Linked DNA regions of Callithrix jacchus. The protein of the gene in region 1 interacts with the protein of each later gene in a biochemical or structural test. Links are inferred from orthologs where the notes say so. Each region holds a gene or a part of one and is shown in the gene's direction. Other genes may lie near its edges.

The links. The genes of interacting proteins can lie anywhere in the genome.
Region 2: of the proteins of MAPT (region 1) and PPP2CB, one has a biochemical effect on the other in vitro, tested with the Homo sapiens proteins (2 studies listed by BioGRID). The link is inferred for Callithrix jacchus from reciprocal best matches to the Homo sapiens genes MAPT and PPP2CB.
Region 3: of the proteins of MAPT (region 1) and GSK3A, one has a biochemical effect on the other in vitro, tested with the Homo sapiens proteins (4 studies listed by BioGRID and IntAct). The link is inferred for Callithrix jacchus from reciprocal best matches to the Homo sapiens genes MAPT and GSK3A.
Region 4: of the proteins of MAPT (region 1) and CSNK1A1, one has a biochemical effect on the other in vitro, tested with the Homo sapiens proteins (2 studies listed by BioGRID). The link is inferred for Callithrix jacchus from reciprocal best matches to the Homo sapiens genes MAPT and CSNK1A1.

What each region holds. Positions count from the first base shown.
Region 1 is NC_133506.1:86,720,990-86,724,500, forward strand, and holds part of MAPT (microtubule-associated protein tau), read left to right. Parts: intron 1-2,662; coding exon 2,663-3,511. UniProt on the Homo sapiens protein: Promotes microtubule assembly and stability, and might be involved in the establishment and maintenance of neuronal polarity.
Region 2 is NC_133514.1:31,978,076-31,982,219, reverse strand, and holds the start of PPP2CB (serine/threonine-protein phosphatase 2A catalytic subunit beta isoform), read left to right. Parts: upstream 1-1,344; 5' UTR 1,345-1,758; coding exon 1,759-1,860; intron 1,861-4,144.
Region 3 is NC_133523.1:37,269,668-37,273,802, reverse strand, and holds the start of GSK3A (glycogen synthase kinase-3 alpha), read left to right. Parts: upstream 1-1,335; 5' UTR 1,336-1,500; coding exon 1,501-1,783; intron 1,784-3,807; coding exon 3,808-3,995; intron 3,996-4,135. UniProt on the Homo sapiens protein: Constitutively active protein kinase that acts as a negative regulator in the hormonal control of glucose homeostasis, Wnt signaling and regulation of transcription factors and microtubules, by phosphorylating and inactivating glycogen synthase (GYS1 or GYS2), CTNNB1/beta-catenin, APC and AXIN1.
Region 4 is NC_133503.1:48,239,720-48,243,737, reverse strand, and holds the start of CSNK1A1 (casein kinase I), read left to right. Parts: upstream 1-1,218; 5' UTR 1,219-1,726; coding exon 1,727-1,849; intron 1,850-2,499; coding exon 2,500-2,606; intron 2,607-4,018.

The sequences.
Region 1 (3,511 bases):
CAGCCTGGAATCCTATAGGGATAAAGTACCTATTAGCAAAATGGAATAAGGTGTTTGAGGATAGAGCTGCAGTGTGTTGAGAATAAGATATGGGAAGGCCTATATACGAGGGGTGGACTTTTCTTCTGTAAGTGTCGGGAGACCAGGCCTCCTGAAGAGGGCATGGGGGCTTAACCTACCTGGACTACTGTGTTTACAATACTCATTTATCTTGAACGCCTTCTAACCCCTAGGAATTGCTACATTTAATATTTACTGAGTACCTAGCATGCTAGGAAATCAATAGAACATTCTCCCAACCAGGCCGGGTGCGGTGGCTTGCGTCTGTAATCCCAGCACTTTGGGAGGATAAGACAAGCAGATCACTTGAGGCCAGGAGCGCGAGACCAGCCTGGCCAATGTGGTAAAACCCTGTCTCTACTAAAAATACAAAAGTTAGCCAGGTGAGGTGGTACACATCTGTAATCTCAGCTACTCAGCTACTCGGGAGGAGTAGGAGGCAAGAGAATTGCTACTGAGGCAAAAGAACTGCTTAAACCTGGGAGGTGGAGGTTGCAGTGAGCTGAGATCATGGCACTGAACCCTAGCCCGAGCGACAAAGTGAGTGAGACTCCGTCTTAAAAAAAAAAATTCTCCTAACCTGGCTTCTTCCTCCAGGGGTGTAATTGATCATGTCAGTTTCCTCATTGATACACACACACACACACACACACACAGAGTACAATCCTGTATCCATGATTTTTCAAGGAACATTTGCTATTTATGTTTGGGGTCCTTGTCTCTTTTTTTAATGGTGTTTCTTAAAGTATTGTATTATATCAGAGTACAGTAACATCCCAGTCAAGAGCACTGTAGTAAACTCCAGGAGGAAAGCGTCTTCTAGAAGGCAGTGGAGACCTGGCTCGTCGGGGTGGCGTAGGGGCAGCCCCTGCCTCTGGTCAGTCCTGACGCTCAGGCTCAGGGTTGCCTCTGGCTGATCTTCCCGGAGACTGATCAAGGTCTCCCATAAGACACCTACAGAGCCTGTGAGAAGCAGAGACACCAGTTGATTCGCGCAGGATCCACTGATTTAACCACCTGCCATGTGGCAGGCACTGTGGTGGATGTAGGAACAGGGATTGCAGGAGCTTTAAGCGTGGCCAGCGTCAGGCTGGAGGTGCTGCTGCGCTGGAACCGGGCCTGTCAGGGAGGAGGCCATGGCAACCACCCTGTCTCCGACTGGGTCAGGCCCACGTGTTACCTGTGCGTCCATGACTGCACCTTCCTCCCTCGCCTCATCCAAATCTCTTTCTTTTCCAAGCCCCCAAATCCTTCAGGGCTGCAGGTTTTGTTTAAAGCAGAGCTGTTGAGTTGCATGTTGTTGTACTGGGACAAGGTGGGGTATTCAAAGAGTTGGGAGTTAAAAAAAAAAACATCAAGGGTGCTTATTAGGAGAACCAAGGAGTGTAATCCTCCTGTTCTTAACACGCAGCCACATTAATGAATGTCACATGAATGAGCCAGAAAAAAATGAAGTGTGCCCTTAATCAGCTGGATTGGCGAGCAGCAAGCTGTGTGACCAGGGCACGGTGGTGGTCCTGAGGGCCATCACTGTCTGCCGTGCAGAGCCCTTCCTCCCAAACGGGCTGACCTCAGCTGTGCAGGGGGCTTGTCTGCGGTCAGTGGCCCCGGTAGATCTGAATGGGTCTTCTTTTTTGAGGAGTCTTGTGGCAGGTCAGTCGGTAAAGACTTCGTTCTTGACGATCACACATTTTGGATTTTCCGAATCTGTCAGACACTGTGCTTGAGGTAGAGTTTGTGGGCACCGGTTTCACTCGTTTCATTTACCAAAAAAGGGAGCAGAAGTCAAATATGGTGGCTCATGCCTGTAACCCCCAAGGCAGGAGAATTGCTTGAGCCCGGGAGTTCAAGACCAGCCTGAGCAACATAAGGAGACCCCATCTCTACAGTAATAAAAAATAATATATTAGCCATACATGGTGGCGTGCATCTGTGGGCCCAACTACTCGGGAGGCTGAGACGGGAGGATCGTTTGAGCCCGGGAGTTTAAAGCTGCACTGAGCTGTGACTGCACGACTGCACCACTGCACTCCCGCCTGGGTGACAGAGTGAGACCATGTATCAAAAAAAAAAAGGTGGCAGGGGGAAGAGTGAAAGGTAGGGAGAGGAAAGGGGAGTCTCACTACACCCAAGCCAGGTACCATCTAGAGGCTAGAATCTTTGGGACACTCAGATTTTCTAGAATGTTGGAGACACTTCTGTAGCTCTCCTGCTTTCGCAGTGATTAAGCCTAGGCTGGCTCCAGATGTGTGACATACTCTATGCCCAACTGGAGCCCATCACAGGCAGAGGAATAACACCCATATCAGAAGGGGCCTCGGAGGTCACCACATCCAAGACTCCCCTTTACAGATGAGGTGACAGTCCCAGAGAGGGCAGGGGCTCACCCAGTGCCACCCAGCGAGCTGGTGGCAGCTAGACCAGGAGAGCTGTCATTCCCAGCACCAAAGGCAATGAGATGAGCCCAGAGCCATGCTCCTATCTCTTTGTCAGGGGACCTGTGATGCCCTTTCAATGTCATTTTGTCCAGGATGATGCTCCCTCTCTTAAGCAATTGATGTGACCTTGCTAACCTTTTGCTATCGCTGCCTCTTCAAACCAGAGGAGTTGAGAGTTCCGGGCCAGCAGAGGAAGGCACCTGAAAGGCCCCGGGTCAATGAGCTTAGCGCTTATGTCCAGCCTGGACCCTGCAGAGTGGCCCCTGGGGTCTCTGGGCCGTGCCTGAGGGAGAAAAAGTCGGAAGTTCCTGTCCCATTGACTGCAAGCCTTCCTCAGCACCGTCCTGTTTGCCCAGCACCTCCTCCAACAGGAGGCCCTCAGGAGCCCTCCCAGGAGTGGGGACCAAAAGGCGGGAACTGGACCGAGGAGGGTCCGGCCTTTCTGAAGCCCGCTGCCCCTGCATATCTCCACATGGAGCCTGAGAGTGGTAAGATGGTCCAGGAAGGCTTCCTCAGAGAGCCAGGCACCCCAAGCCTGAGCCACCAACTCGTGTCTGGCATGCCTGGGGCTCCCTTCCTGCCTGAGAGCCGCAGAGAGGCCACACACCAGCCTTTGGGGACAGGACCTGAGGACACAAAGGGTGGCTGCCATGCCCCTGAGCTGCTGAAGCGCCAGCTTCTGGGAGATCTGCACCCGGAGGAGCTGCCACTGAAGGGGACCGGGAGCAAAGAGAGGCCGGGGGACGAGAAGGAGGTGGATGAAGACCGAGACGTTGATGAGTCCTCCCCACAGGACTCCCCTCCCTCCCAGGTCTCCCCAGTCCGAGATGGACCACCTCCCCAGACATTCACCAGAGAAGCCACCAGTGTCCCAGGCTTCCCAGCAGAAGGCACCATCCCCCTCCCAGTCGATTTCCTCTCCAAAGTTTCTGCAGAGACCCCGGCCTCAGAGCCTGACGGGCCCAGTGCAGGGCTGGCTGAAGGGCAGGACGTGCCCCCCGAGTTCACGTTCC
Region 2 (4,144 bases), on another chromosome or scaffold:
TTCCGAGTGTTTCCTTTTTTTTTTTTTTCACTCTTGTCACCAGGTTGGAGTGCAATAGTGAGATCTTGGCTCATGGGGCAACCTCTGCCTTCCAGTATCAAGTGATTCTTCTGCCTCAACCTCCCGAGTAGCTGGGATTATTACAGGTGCCCGCTACCATGCCTGGCTAATTTTCGTATTTTTAGTAGAAACGGGTTTCACCATGTTGGCCAGGCTGGTCTTGAACTCCTGATCTCAGATGATCCACTCACCTCAGCCTCCCAAAGTGCTGGGATTATAGGCGTGAGCCATTGTGCCCAGCCCAGGTAAGGGTTTTTAAAGGCAGGGAGGCAGAGGTTACAGGCAAAGTCATAAATCAATACATGGAGACTATACATGAATTTGATCTAAAAAGCCAAGATATCTGAAGCAGGGACCCACAGGTCATAGATGGATTCAAAGATTTTATGATTTGCAACTGGTTAAGGAGGCAAAGCTTTGTGAATTTTTCCAGGCTCCTCAGTAAGAAATTTAGAACAAAGATAGATAGTTTGAAGTCTCCATGCCAGTGGACAGCACTTTCCATTTGGTGAGGGTCCAGGTTTCTAAAAAACAACTCAGGGACATCGTCCTCTTTAGTTTCTTTAAGGAACCAAACATTTTGTGAATCTAACGTCCTTGGTTACTGCCTTAAGCTTTTATTACCTTCTTGCTTATCAGGTTGCTCATTGACTTCTCGAGGAAGTTAGGTGCCGGGAATGTCCCTTGAGAGAACTCAAGATTTTCCTTTCCATACTTGGGGAGGGGGGTGCCTAGCTGGCCCCTAAGAAGGGGTCCCTCCTCTGTCTCAATAAATATTTGTTGAATGAACAAATCATTAACCTCAGTACATATTGCAGAAAACGCAGTCAAGAACGCTAGAGCTGGAAGGGCCACAGATTATCCTACAGAACAACCATTTCACTTTTCTAATGTTGAAGGGAAGGATTCGAGATGTTAGGACTACAGACCCGGCTGTAAATAATCAATTATTTACTCCATCAATATTGAATGCCTGCTATTGAGTGCTAGACTCTGGGGGGAACAATGTTAAGGGGAGCCCAAGTTTTCCAATTCCCTGTCCAGAGCACTGAAAAAGTACTGCAGGAAGCTAAAGTGAGGACAAAGTTCCCAGAGATCAGTCTATCTGAAGGGAGAACCAGCAGAGCTTGGTCTGGGGCAGGGTTGAGAAAGGAGGAGGGACCCCGGCCTCCTCAGACCGTTTCTCCGCCAGGCCAAGCGAGGGCGCTGTTCTGCTCCTAGTGCGCCGTGGGCGGGCGGTGCCGCCTGCTCGCCTTTTCCCGGCGGAAATGCCCGAGCGATGACGGAAACCTGGAGGGAGGGGAGAGAAAGAGCGAGAGAAGGGGAAAGATAGCCTGTAGAGGCCGGCGGGTGTGAGGTGGCGGCGGACGGCCTTCGTCCAGCGGGAGTTGGCCGAGAACCCGCGGCGCGCTCCCCGGCACCTCCCCGCGTCCTTCACCTATTCGCGCGGCGCGCGGCCAGGCGAGAAAGGGCGGGCGGGGGTCTCCTCCAGGCCGCGCGCTCGGAACCGCCTTCTGGGCTTGGGCGGGGCGCGGGGCCCGCGGCCGCCCTCCCTAGCTCTGTCTTCCCCCAGTGGGATCTGGCGGCGGCGGCGGAGGGAGAGGGGAGCGGCGCCCGGGCCGGGGCCGGGGGCGGGTGGGGTGGGGGGAGGGCGGCTGCGGGGCAGGGGCTCGGGATCCGCATCGGGATCGGGCCGCCATGGACGACAAGGCGTTCACCAAGGAGCTGGACCAGTGGGTCGAGCAGCTGAACGAGTGTAAGCAGCTGAACGAGAACCAAGTGCGGACGCTGTGCGAGAAGGTGAGGGCGCCGCGGGGGCGAGTGCGGGAGTGCGAGAGCGCGGGGCTGGGATGGGCCGCGGCCGCCGCTTTCCTTCCTGCACGTCCCAGGCCCGTCCGCTCCCGGCCCGGCTTGGCCCACCGGGGGCCTGCGGGGTTGCAGCCCCGGCCTCCATTCGGGCGGCGGGCCCGGCCGGTCAGGGACCGGAGCGTTGGACTGCCCTCGCCCGGCGCCTCTGCCTCGGCGCTGACACGCCCCACGCCCGCGGCCGGCGGCCCAGATCCCGGGCGTGGGGGCTCGGGTGTGGACGGAAAGGGAAACGCGCCCCCCGGAGTCGAGCCTGAGGTTGGTCAGGTTGCCTGCGCTCCCCTGGGGAGTTCCTGCCACTCCAGCATGTCCCGAGTGGGCTACCGAGAGCGGCGTCCGAAAAGGAGCAATGCTGTCTCTGAAAATGCACCTAAAATTAACCAGAATGTCGTACCTACTAATGAACTTGTTAATTAATGTAGAATTTTTGTCAGGCGAACGAGGCACCTCAAAAATCACTCACAAGTGCTGTGACTCACGCCTGTGGTCACAGCTACTCGGGAGGCTAATGCGGGAGGATTGCTTGAGCCCAAGAGTTAAGAGACCAACCTGGTCAACATAGTGAGGCCCTGTCTCCACAAAAAAAAAAATAAAAAATAAATTAGTGGGGCATGGTGGCGGGTGCCAGTAATCCCAGCTATTCGTGAGGTTGAGGCCGGAGGTTCGCTTGAATCCAGGAGGTGGAGGCTGCAGTTAGCTGAAGTCGCGCCACTGTACTCCAGCCTGAGCGACAGAGCAAGACCCTGTCTCCGAAAAAAGAAAAAAAAAAAAATTACTGGCTCTTTAATGTGTCAAGCGTTTGTTTGTGGAGAGGTAGGCGTGATGGCCAGCTGCGATTTTTAAAATAGAGGTTGACTTTGGTGGAAACAGATGGTGACTGGTCTTTGCCTTCACTCGCTCTTGGAAGTAAAGCATTGATTTTCCTAAACGAGAGCGGGTCTTGAGTTTGGGAACCGTGTTTGCTGGAAATGAGGTGGGGTGTGCGTTTTCACGCATGATAGCACTTTTCAGACAATTATTCTCCATTTTAATATAAAGTTTTTTCTTTTCCGAAGAATAACGCCTGCAGGTGGTCAATTCTTTCTTGTACATCGTTCATGAGTTTGTAAAGTGATCTTCACTTTATAAATACTATATTCCTTGTTGTCTTAACCCCTGGAATCATTTCCATCTCTCCATCTTTAAAGTCTAATTTTCCACATTTATCCTTTATAAGATGGACTAAATATTTTTCATGTTAAAAATTCCCACTTGAAGTCCATGAAGTAACGAGGTTATTTATTTTTAACATAATCTGTACTTTTTTTTTTTTAACCATAACGCTTAGAAATCATGATATTGCAGAAATACACAAGAAAAGGACAATTTTTTGTTAGTCTTATTTTAGGACATTCTTAAAATCATGAAATTTACTTAGAAAAGAAGCACTAATAGTGTTAAGTTAAAATAGTGTTTTTAACGGGTATAATGTTGCCTGAGACCTTTATGTATTAAGTAACTATTGGTTAACACCGAAGAATTTATTTTTGTAAATAGAAGTGCCAAGCAAGTGGTATTTTTCTTTTTCTGAAACAAACTGCTTACTTGTGGCTTCAGTAAACATTCATTTTATTGTGTCTTAAAATTTATACTTTAAATATCTTTCTCAAGCTCTAATGTGAAGTGAATTGTACAGGTTTGAAATGAGCTGAGTCAGTTAACCTTGCTATGAACATCAGAATGCAGACTTGAAGTTATGGGCAAAGTGTTATTTGAATCTGTTTTTCCCATTGACTTTCTTTTTTTGTTGTTTTGTTTTTGAGACAGAATGTCACTCTCTCACCCAGGTTGGAGTGTAGTGGTGCCATCTCTGCTCACTGCAGCTTCCGTCTCCTGAGTTCAAGGAATCCTCCTGCCTCAGCCTCCCGAGTAGCTGGGATTAGAGGTGCCCACCACCATGCGCTGATTTTAGTAGAGATGGGGTTTCGCCATGTTGACCAGGCTAGTCTGGAACTCCTGGCCCCAAGTGATCCGCCCACCTCAGTCCCTCAAAGTGCTAGGATTACAGGCGTGAACCCTGTGCAGAGCCCCCATTGACTTTCTAATAATTTTAAGATGAACTCCTAGAGAAGAATATTGTACCACTACTATACCTTGAAATAATCACACCAGAGTGTCAATCACTTGTGAAACTTTCTGTATTTGTCAAAAGAGATTTTTTTTTCCTTCGGCTTCTAAA
Region 3 (4,135 bases), on another chromosome or scaffold:
GGAGTGCAGTGGCGCGATCTCGGCTCACGCAACCTCCGCCTCCCGGGTTCAAGCGATTCTCCTGCCTCAGCCTCCTGAGTACCTGGGATTATAGGCACCCGCCGCCACGCCCGGCTAATTTTTGTATTTTTAGTAGAGACGGGGTTTTGCCATGTTGGCCAGGCTGGTCTCGAACTCCTGACATCAGGTGATCCGCCCATTTTGGCCTCCCAAAGTGGTGGGATTACAGGCGTGAGCCATCTCGCCAGGCCCAGAAATTATATTTCAATCTTTTTAATGTTCCAATAAGCTTTCTGGTGCTAACCACATTGCTAGGAAAAGCTAGACTGTATCCGACGGCTCGTGTTCTGAGAAACCGCAGAAAACTTTCTTTCCTGAATCCTTTGCACAGTTGTGGGGGTGGGGGGGCAAGAGAGGGGACATTTTTTCTTTCTTGATCTATGATCACCTGGAACTTAAAGGTGCTTGGCTCCATTTTCCAGCAGTCCTTGACCGACCTCGGCTTTTTCGTAAAGAAGGACCTGGGGCGAGGAAGAAGGCGCTGAAACACTTTTAAGTCTCTCCAGGGAACTGCTGCAGCCTCTAAATTTTGCTCACACGCCCCCAATCGTCGCCATTGGACTCCGCTTCCCGGCAAGCCTCTGCAGACTGGCCTTACAAAAGGTCAGGTCTGGACTATTCCCCAGCACGCTTGGAACTCTTAGGCGATCCCGCCCCCTCAGTCAATGGGGAGGATGCCTGGAACTTCATTTCCCAGAACACACCAGGGCTCTCTGTGGCTACTGCTCTAAGAGCCTTGGTGTTGACTACACTTCCCGGCAGGTACTGCGGCCTAGCGTACCTGGGAAGGGGAGCGCGAAACCTACGCCATTTCCTCGCCGATCTCCGGAACTGCAGTAGCCACTTGGGGCTTGGAAACCAACTGGGACTCCGTTTCCCGGCGTGCTCTAAAAATCTCTTTACACCTGCAATGCGGTGAGGGCGTGGCGACGACTCCATTTCCCGGCTTGCTTCACGGCCGGAGAGCCGCAGGTTCACGCGCGCCGACTCAATTTCCCAGAGCGCACCGGGCTCTGGGACGCATACACAACCAATAGACTGAGTGAGTGGACTCCGTTTCCCAGCGGCATCAGGCTCTCTGCTTCCCAAAGTCCTTCAGGGCTCCCCGTCGTACAGTCGGCTGCCAGATTACCCTGGACTCCATTTCCCGACGTACAGCGCGACCTGTCATTCCCGTGGTACTTTGAGGCTTTTGTGGACTTCATTTCCCGGCGTGCCACGCGGCTCTCCGTGCGGGCCGAGGGCGGTGACGGCGGCGCGGACGACAGCCGGACTGCATCTCCCGGCGTGCCCCGCGGCGGGCGCTGGGCCGGAGCCGGAGCCCAAGCCCGAGCGGCGCGGCCTGGAAGAGGCCAGAGCCCGGGGGAGGCGGCGGCAGCAGCGGCGGCTGGGGCAGCCCAGGCAGCCCGAGCCCCGCGGCCTGGGCCTGCGCTCGGCGCCATGAGCGGCGGCGGGCCTTCGGGAGGCGGCCCTGGGGGCTCGGGCAGGGCGCGGACCAGTTCGTTTGCGGAGCCAGGCGGCGGAGGCGGAGGCGGCGGCGGCGGCCCAGGAGGCTCGGCCTCCGGCCCAGGCGGCACCGGCGGCGGGAAGACGTCTGTCGGGGCCATGGGTGGGGGCGTCGGGGCATCGAGCTCCGGGGGTGGACCCGGCGGCAGCGGCGGAGGAGGCAGCGGAGGCCCCGGCGCAGGCACTAGCTTCCCGCCGCCCGGGGTGAAGCTGGGCCGTGAGTACTAGCGGCGCCTGTGTAGGTGGTGATCAGGGTTCCTAAAGCTCCTCAGACATCCGTCAGGTTCTTTCATATGCTTAGATAGGAGCTCGAGGTCACTGTGCCTCCCTAAACCGAAGATCCGAGCCCTCTCCCTCCCAGAAAAAGGGGTCTTGGGGTTACCATCTCTTGGATGTCAGAATTACTCTGGGATCAGAATTATTAACACTTAAAGAAACGAGTTACAAGTCCGTGTTCTTCCATTATTGAGGTCTTGGGCCCTTGAGCCTTAAGAACAGGTATCTTACGTTGCTGTTCATTAGAAAACTGGATCAGAGGTCATAGTCGCTTGCAAATGGGGAGCTATTGTCTCCTAAGAGAACAGGAATAAGACAATACCCCGAAAAAGAGGGATCTGCATTTGCTGTCCTTCAGAAGATGGGGATTTGGAGTGAATATCACTTAAAATCAGGGCTTTGAGGTTACTGTGTTGTGTCCCCAAAAAATAGGGCCAGGGCTTTCCAAACCTGGTACTCAGATCATCTTCCCTATTAACATCAAGACTTGGCATCATTACCCACCCTAAATATGTTGAGCTGTACCCCAGTGGTGAGAATTAATAGGTATTGCTTCTTCGATATAAAGACATTGGGAGTCAGCATATCCTTCAAACCAAGTCCATAGTCCATATTTTAAAATACATGGCTTGGTGTGTCTTCTTTAACAAAAATGGAATGGAGCAGGGTGGTTCACAGTTTCCTATAGACTATGGATCTAAGGTTTTACTTCTTTAATAAATGTTCTAGGGTATGGTGTCATTGGCTCTGAAAAAAAAAATAGTGATGTAGGGTTATCTCCCTCTGAAAGAACATGTCTCTGGCCCCTCAAAATGGATTTGGTGGCTGGGCGTGGTGGTTCACGCCTGTTATCTCAGCACTTTGGGAGGCCGAGGTGGATGGATCACCTGAGGTCAGGAGTTCAAGACCAGCCTGGCCAATATGGTGAAACCCCGTCTCTACTAAAAATACAAAAATAAGCTGGGCGTCGTGGCAGGCGCCTGTAATCCCAGCTACTTGGGAGGCTGAGGCAGGAGAATTGCTTGAACTCAGGGCGCAGAGGTTGCAGTGAGCTGAGATTGCACCATTGCATTCCAGCCTAGGCAACAAAAGCAAAACTCTGTCTCAAAAAAAAAAAAAAAAAAAGGATTTGGTTCATCAGTTATTCAAAGACCCCTAAGAATGGCACCAGGGTTTGCTACCATCTGAATAATGGGAATTGAGAATTGTAGCTTTCCTTCAAAGGACTGAGGCTGGACTAGCCCCTTGATAATAGAAGTCAGGTTTATCATTCTCATAATCTGGTACTTGTCCATTAGGGACCACCCACATACAGGGAGGGGTCTGGGGCTGTGGACCACACAGATGAAGAGGTCAGGTCAGTGTTTTTTCTAATCTCAAAGTACCAAAAAGTGAGGGTCAAGGCACTGCTACGTATACCAGGAGAGGACATTCATTTCTGTCACCAAGAACCAGTGAAGTTAACAGCTCTACAGGGGAGGACTTAGAGGTCAGTATCCTCTAGGCTGTGAGAAAGACTAGTGCTTTCCTAAAGTAGGAGTAACTCAGGGTTTCTGCTCCCTTAAGTGGATGAGGTTGAGTCAAGCTTTCTCCAAATATGAGGGGCCAGAGGGCAGAAGATCAGAGTGGATGGAGTCAACATCTGGTGTCTCCCAGTACCAAGATGGACCAGTGATCTGTTGCTTCCTAGAAGTAGAAATTTGGGGTTGACAACCCTTGAAGCAGAGAGGTTTACGTATCAATATCCTCCCATGTGGAGGAGAGGCAGGATTTAAGTTTCCCAGAAAGGAAGAGGGGAAAAGTCACTGGGAAGTTCCAGCATCCACCTCTCCTCAAAGAGGAGGAAGGGACAAAGAGGTCCCCAACAAGCTTCCTGTGGAGATTTCCCTTCCTCCCACAGCCCCAGGATGGGGCGATGTGCAGACAGGATGGGTCAGTGGATCGTGTATCCCCTTTGTTCCCCAGGTGACAGCGGGAAGGTGACCACAGTGGTAGCCACTCTAGGCCAAGGCCCAGAGCGCTCCCAAGAGGTGGCTTACACAGACATCAAAGTGATTGGCAATGGCTCATTTGGGGTCGTGTACCAGGCACGGCTGGCAGAGACCAGGGAACTGGTCGCCATCAAGAAGGTTCTCCAGGACAAGAGGTTCAAGGTAGCTTGGGCGGGATGGGGATGGGGAGGTTTGGGAACTGGGCATGACTGGTGGGAGAACCCTAGCCAGACAGCTGAAGGCTTGGGTTTCAGAGCCATGGTTCAGAAGGGAAAGGGGGAAAAGAGGAAATGAGACCTGTG
Region 4 (4,018 bases), on another chromosome or scaffold:
GTGAGCCACCGTGCCCCTGGCTACCATATGGTTTTAAATGTTGTCAATTATGTTTTGCGACAGTTACCTCTGCTATATGTTAAGGTTAATATTGAGGTTTTCCATATGACCAACATATGATTCTTTTTTTTTTTTTCGTTTTTTTGGTGGGATTGGGAGGAGGGCTAGAACAGTTTTTTCACTCTTGTTAATTTTCTGTTGATTCCACCTATTACTAATCTTCATTATGGCAAGATACCCGGTTTTCTCATGAAGATCAAATGTGGTAGTGGGGCAATAATGCAAAGACAAAGGACGGTAGGAGGATTCCGGCTTCTTTTTTCCCCTCCTGAGCAAACAGGGTCTCTAACACTCCGTAGTAGAGAACACAGTTCTATTTATGAAGGGTAATTAGCTGGGCTTTGCTACAACCGAGAGCCCTGAACGATTCGATCAGCCCGATACGCGGGCTGCTTTTCTCTTCTTCTCCACCAGAGGCGATAGCCTCTTTCCAAACAGAAACTTGGTTGCAATAGGCCGGTCGGGGGGAGCGGCCAGAAGATCAAAGATTAAAAACCGCCTGAAACAGGCCGGGCGCGGTGGCTCATACCTATAATCCCAGCACTTTGGGAGGCCGAGGCGGGTGGATCACGAGGTCAAGAGATCGAGACCATCCTGGTCAACATGGTGAAACCCTGTCTCTACTAAAAGTACAAAAAAAAAAATTGGCTGGGCATAGTGGCGTGGGCCTGTAATCCCAGCTACTCGGGAGGCTGAGGCAGGAGAATTGCTTGAACCCAGGAGGCGGAGGCTGCGGTGAGCCGAGATCGCGCCATTGCACTCCAGCCTGGGTAACAAGAGTGAAACTCCGTCTCAAAAAAAAAAAAAAAAAAACCTCCTGAAACAAAGAGCAAAGGTCAATACCAAACTCCTAAGGAGGCCTGAAGCTTTTATCTGTTAGGAAACGGGAAGGTGACTTCTCCCTGACATCGGTGCCTGAGGCCACTCAGCCTTCCAGAGACCGGGCGGGTCCGGGCGGGTCCGTGGTAACAGGTAGCACCGGCTGAACAGCCGCCAACCGGAAGTGGAAGAGAGCCTGGGGCGGGGTGAGTACCAGCCGCGGCACGCCTGCGCAGTCAGCAGGAGTTACAGTGCTCATGCGCAGCTGGGCGGTGACGAGGTGACGCTTGGAGCGTGGGCCGCGACTCTCACGGATCCGGTTCCGCCCTCCCTCTGGCTGCAGATCCTCCGGAGCGAGCGCCCGAGATCCCTTTCCCAGAGTGCTCTGCGCCGTGAAGAAGCGGCTCCCGGGGACTGGGGGCATTTTGTGTTGGCTGGAGCTGGAGTAACAAGATGGCGTCGTCGGCGGAGTGACAGGGGTCCCTCCGGGCCGGAGCCAGCAGCAGTGCTGGCAGTGGTATCGCCGCCCTAGCTCACCGCGCCCCTTTTCCTGCCCGCGACGTCGCCGCTCAAGCAGGCATCGGCCGCCAACGAGAACAAGTGGCCCAGCCTGGTAGCCGCGAGAAGCCCTTCACAAAGTGCGGCCTGGCAAAAAGAAACCTGACTGAGCGGTGGTGATCAGGTTCCCCTCGGCTGATTCTGGGCCCCGAACGCCGGTAAAGGCCTCTGTGTTCCGTTTCCTGCTGCCTTCCTCCGTAGCCTTGCCCGGTGTAGGAGCTCGAGAGGTCTCCGTCTTCCCCTCAGAGGTGTCGGGGCTTGGCCCCAGCCTCCATCTTCGTCTCTCAGGATGGCGAGCAGCAGCGGCTCCAAGGCCGAATTCATTGTCGGAGGGAAATACAAACTGGTACGGAAGATCGGGTCTGGCTCCTTCGGGGACATCTATCTGGCGATCAACATCACCAACGGCGAGGTAATCACCTGGGGTAGGGTTGACGATAACGCTGGGCATTTCCTCATTCCCCGCCCCCACCACCGCGCACCCCTAAAGTGCTTGGGCCTCTCCCCACCGCACGCACTCGTCAGGGAGTCCAGAGAGCTAGTTTTCCTGGCTTTTGAACCTCCCCCGCTCTTTCCCTAAAAGGATCAAGAACCCGATAGAAAGGTTGGGGAAGGTTCCCAGCTTGTTAAACACGTCCCATAAATGTCCCTTAGTTGAACTTTTTTTTTTTTAACCGTTTTTTAAGGTGGAAACGGCAAAATCCTATTTCTGTGATTCCCATGCTTTTATTTTATTTTATTTTTAATTCTGCTGGCCTCTTATTCCAATTAGAACAGTTTCCGATCGCCTAGTTCCTTAAAAACCTCTCATTACGTTCAGAGGTTGCCTCTTTTTTTCTGGATGAATCATTTTCCTGCACTTTAGAAGAGGTAGGGATTTCGTCACTACCCCCTGAAGAGGCTGGTTGCCTCATTTTATAATTACAGAGAGCTTTCTCTTTCCAGTCTTTCGCTTTTTCCCTGTAGTCGCGACTTGGAGTTTTGCTAATGTCTCTCCCTCCTTTCCTAAGTGACATTGAATCCGTAGGGATGTTGATGCCATCATCCCTCTTTCCCCTGCAGGAAGTGGCAGTGAAGCTAGAATCTCAGAAGGCCAGGCATCCCCAGTTGCTGTACGAGAGCAAGCTCTATAAGATTCTTCAAGGTGGGGTTGGCATCCCCCACATACGGTAAGAACCCTGTGCATATAGGCGGTCTGCTGAGGGAAGCACGGAATGGGGAAGTGGGTAGAGGCAGGTAAGGAGACCAGCTGAATCCAGGTCTTGGTGTTTCAGTTACCTGGGTTCCCTACAGCTAGTGGCTTCCTGTAAGTCAGTTATCGCAATCACTGAGTAAATTTCAGTTTGCTAACTTAGTTTAAAATTTCATTGTATTACACTGTGTCCCATTTCGCTTCCGTCATTTCTCCCTCTTCCCGAGGCTTTCATTTGCAGTAAAGTGTGCAGGTCATCTTTGATCTCTACGCGGAAGGTTTGACTGCTGCCTTTTTTACGGCGGCATGTCTGGTGTTCAGAGGTTTGCTCAGTGAAGTGGATTTGAAGGTGGCGAAGCGACAGGGCAGTGTCATTTCGGGTTGCTATTGGAGCTGGCTTGGGAAATGGCTGCTCTTTTGTTGTGTTTTTGTTCCAACATGTCTTCCTCCTCCGCTTAGAAAATGGCGGAACGACGTGACTCAACCCCATATTCCTGCCCTTTTCTCAGCTTGGGTTCACAAATTATGCTTCCTTGATACCTCCTTCAGCAGCCCCAAGTGGTTTAAACCTTTGAAAAAGTCAAGAATAAAGCTGCAGGAGCCAGTGGGGTTCCAGGAAGGACATGGCATAGTGACAATGTTTGTGATCTCGTCAGCAGATATGATACGAAATTGTTGAATTATACTATGTAAAATCCTTTGTAGTTCTTTTAAAAGTGTTAATTACTCTTTCCTTTAGTGAATGGTCATGTTTGTCACTTTTCAGTCCAAACTAAATTTGTATAGATAGTGGCAGAGGCAGTTTGAGCACCACCATGTTAAAATTTACTCAGCTCAGTTTTATTAAAAGAGAGCTTAATCACTTAGCCACACTTTGATAAGTAATTTTAACCTGTTGAGTTTATCAGTAAATTTTAACATCAGAGAAATTGTGGCCTTTTTTGGTGTGGAATATTGGTGGATACAAATAGTGGTAATGAGGATACAAGGTGACGAGATAGAAATACATTGTTCCGTCAACTCTTGAGGGTTTTAGAGTAATGTTTTGACTTTAGGGATTAAAAGAGCCTCTTCATGGAATAGAGACTAAAATGTAGTTTAAAACCCAGCTGTTTTCCAGCGATAATAAAAAAAAATTTGCAAAAATTTTCAGAATAGTTGAGAATGGTATTTACTGTTTACTGGAGCCTCTTTTTTTGTTTTGTTGTTGTTGTTTTTGTTTTGAAATGGCGTTTTTGCTCTTGCCACCTAGGTTGGAGCGCAGTCACACGATCTCTGCTCACTGCAACCTGTGCCTCCCAGGTTCAAACGATTCTTGTGCCTCAGGCTCCAGAGTAGCTGGGACTACAGGCTGGTGCCACCACGCCCAGCTAATTTTTTGTATTTTTA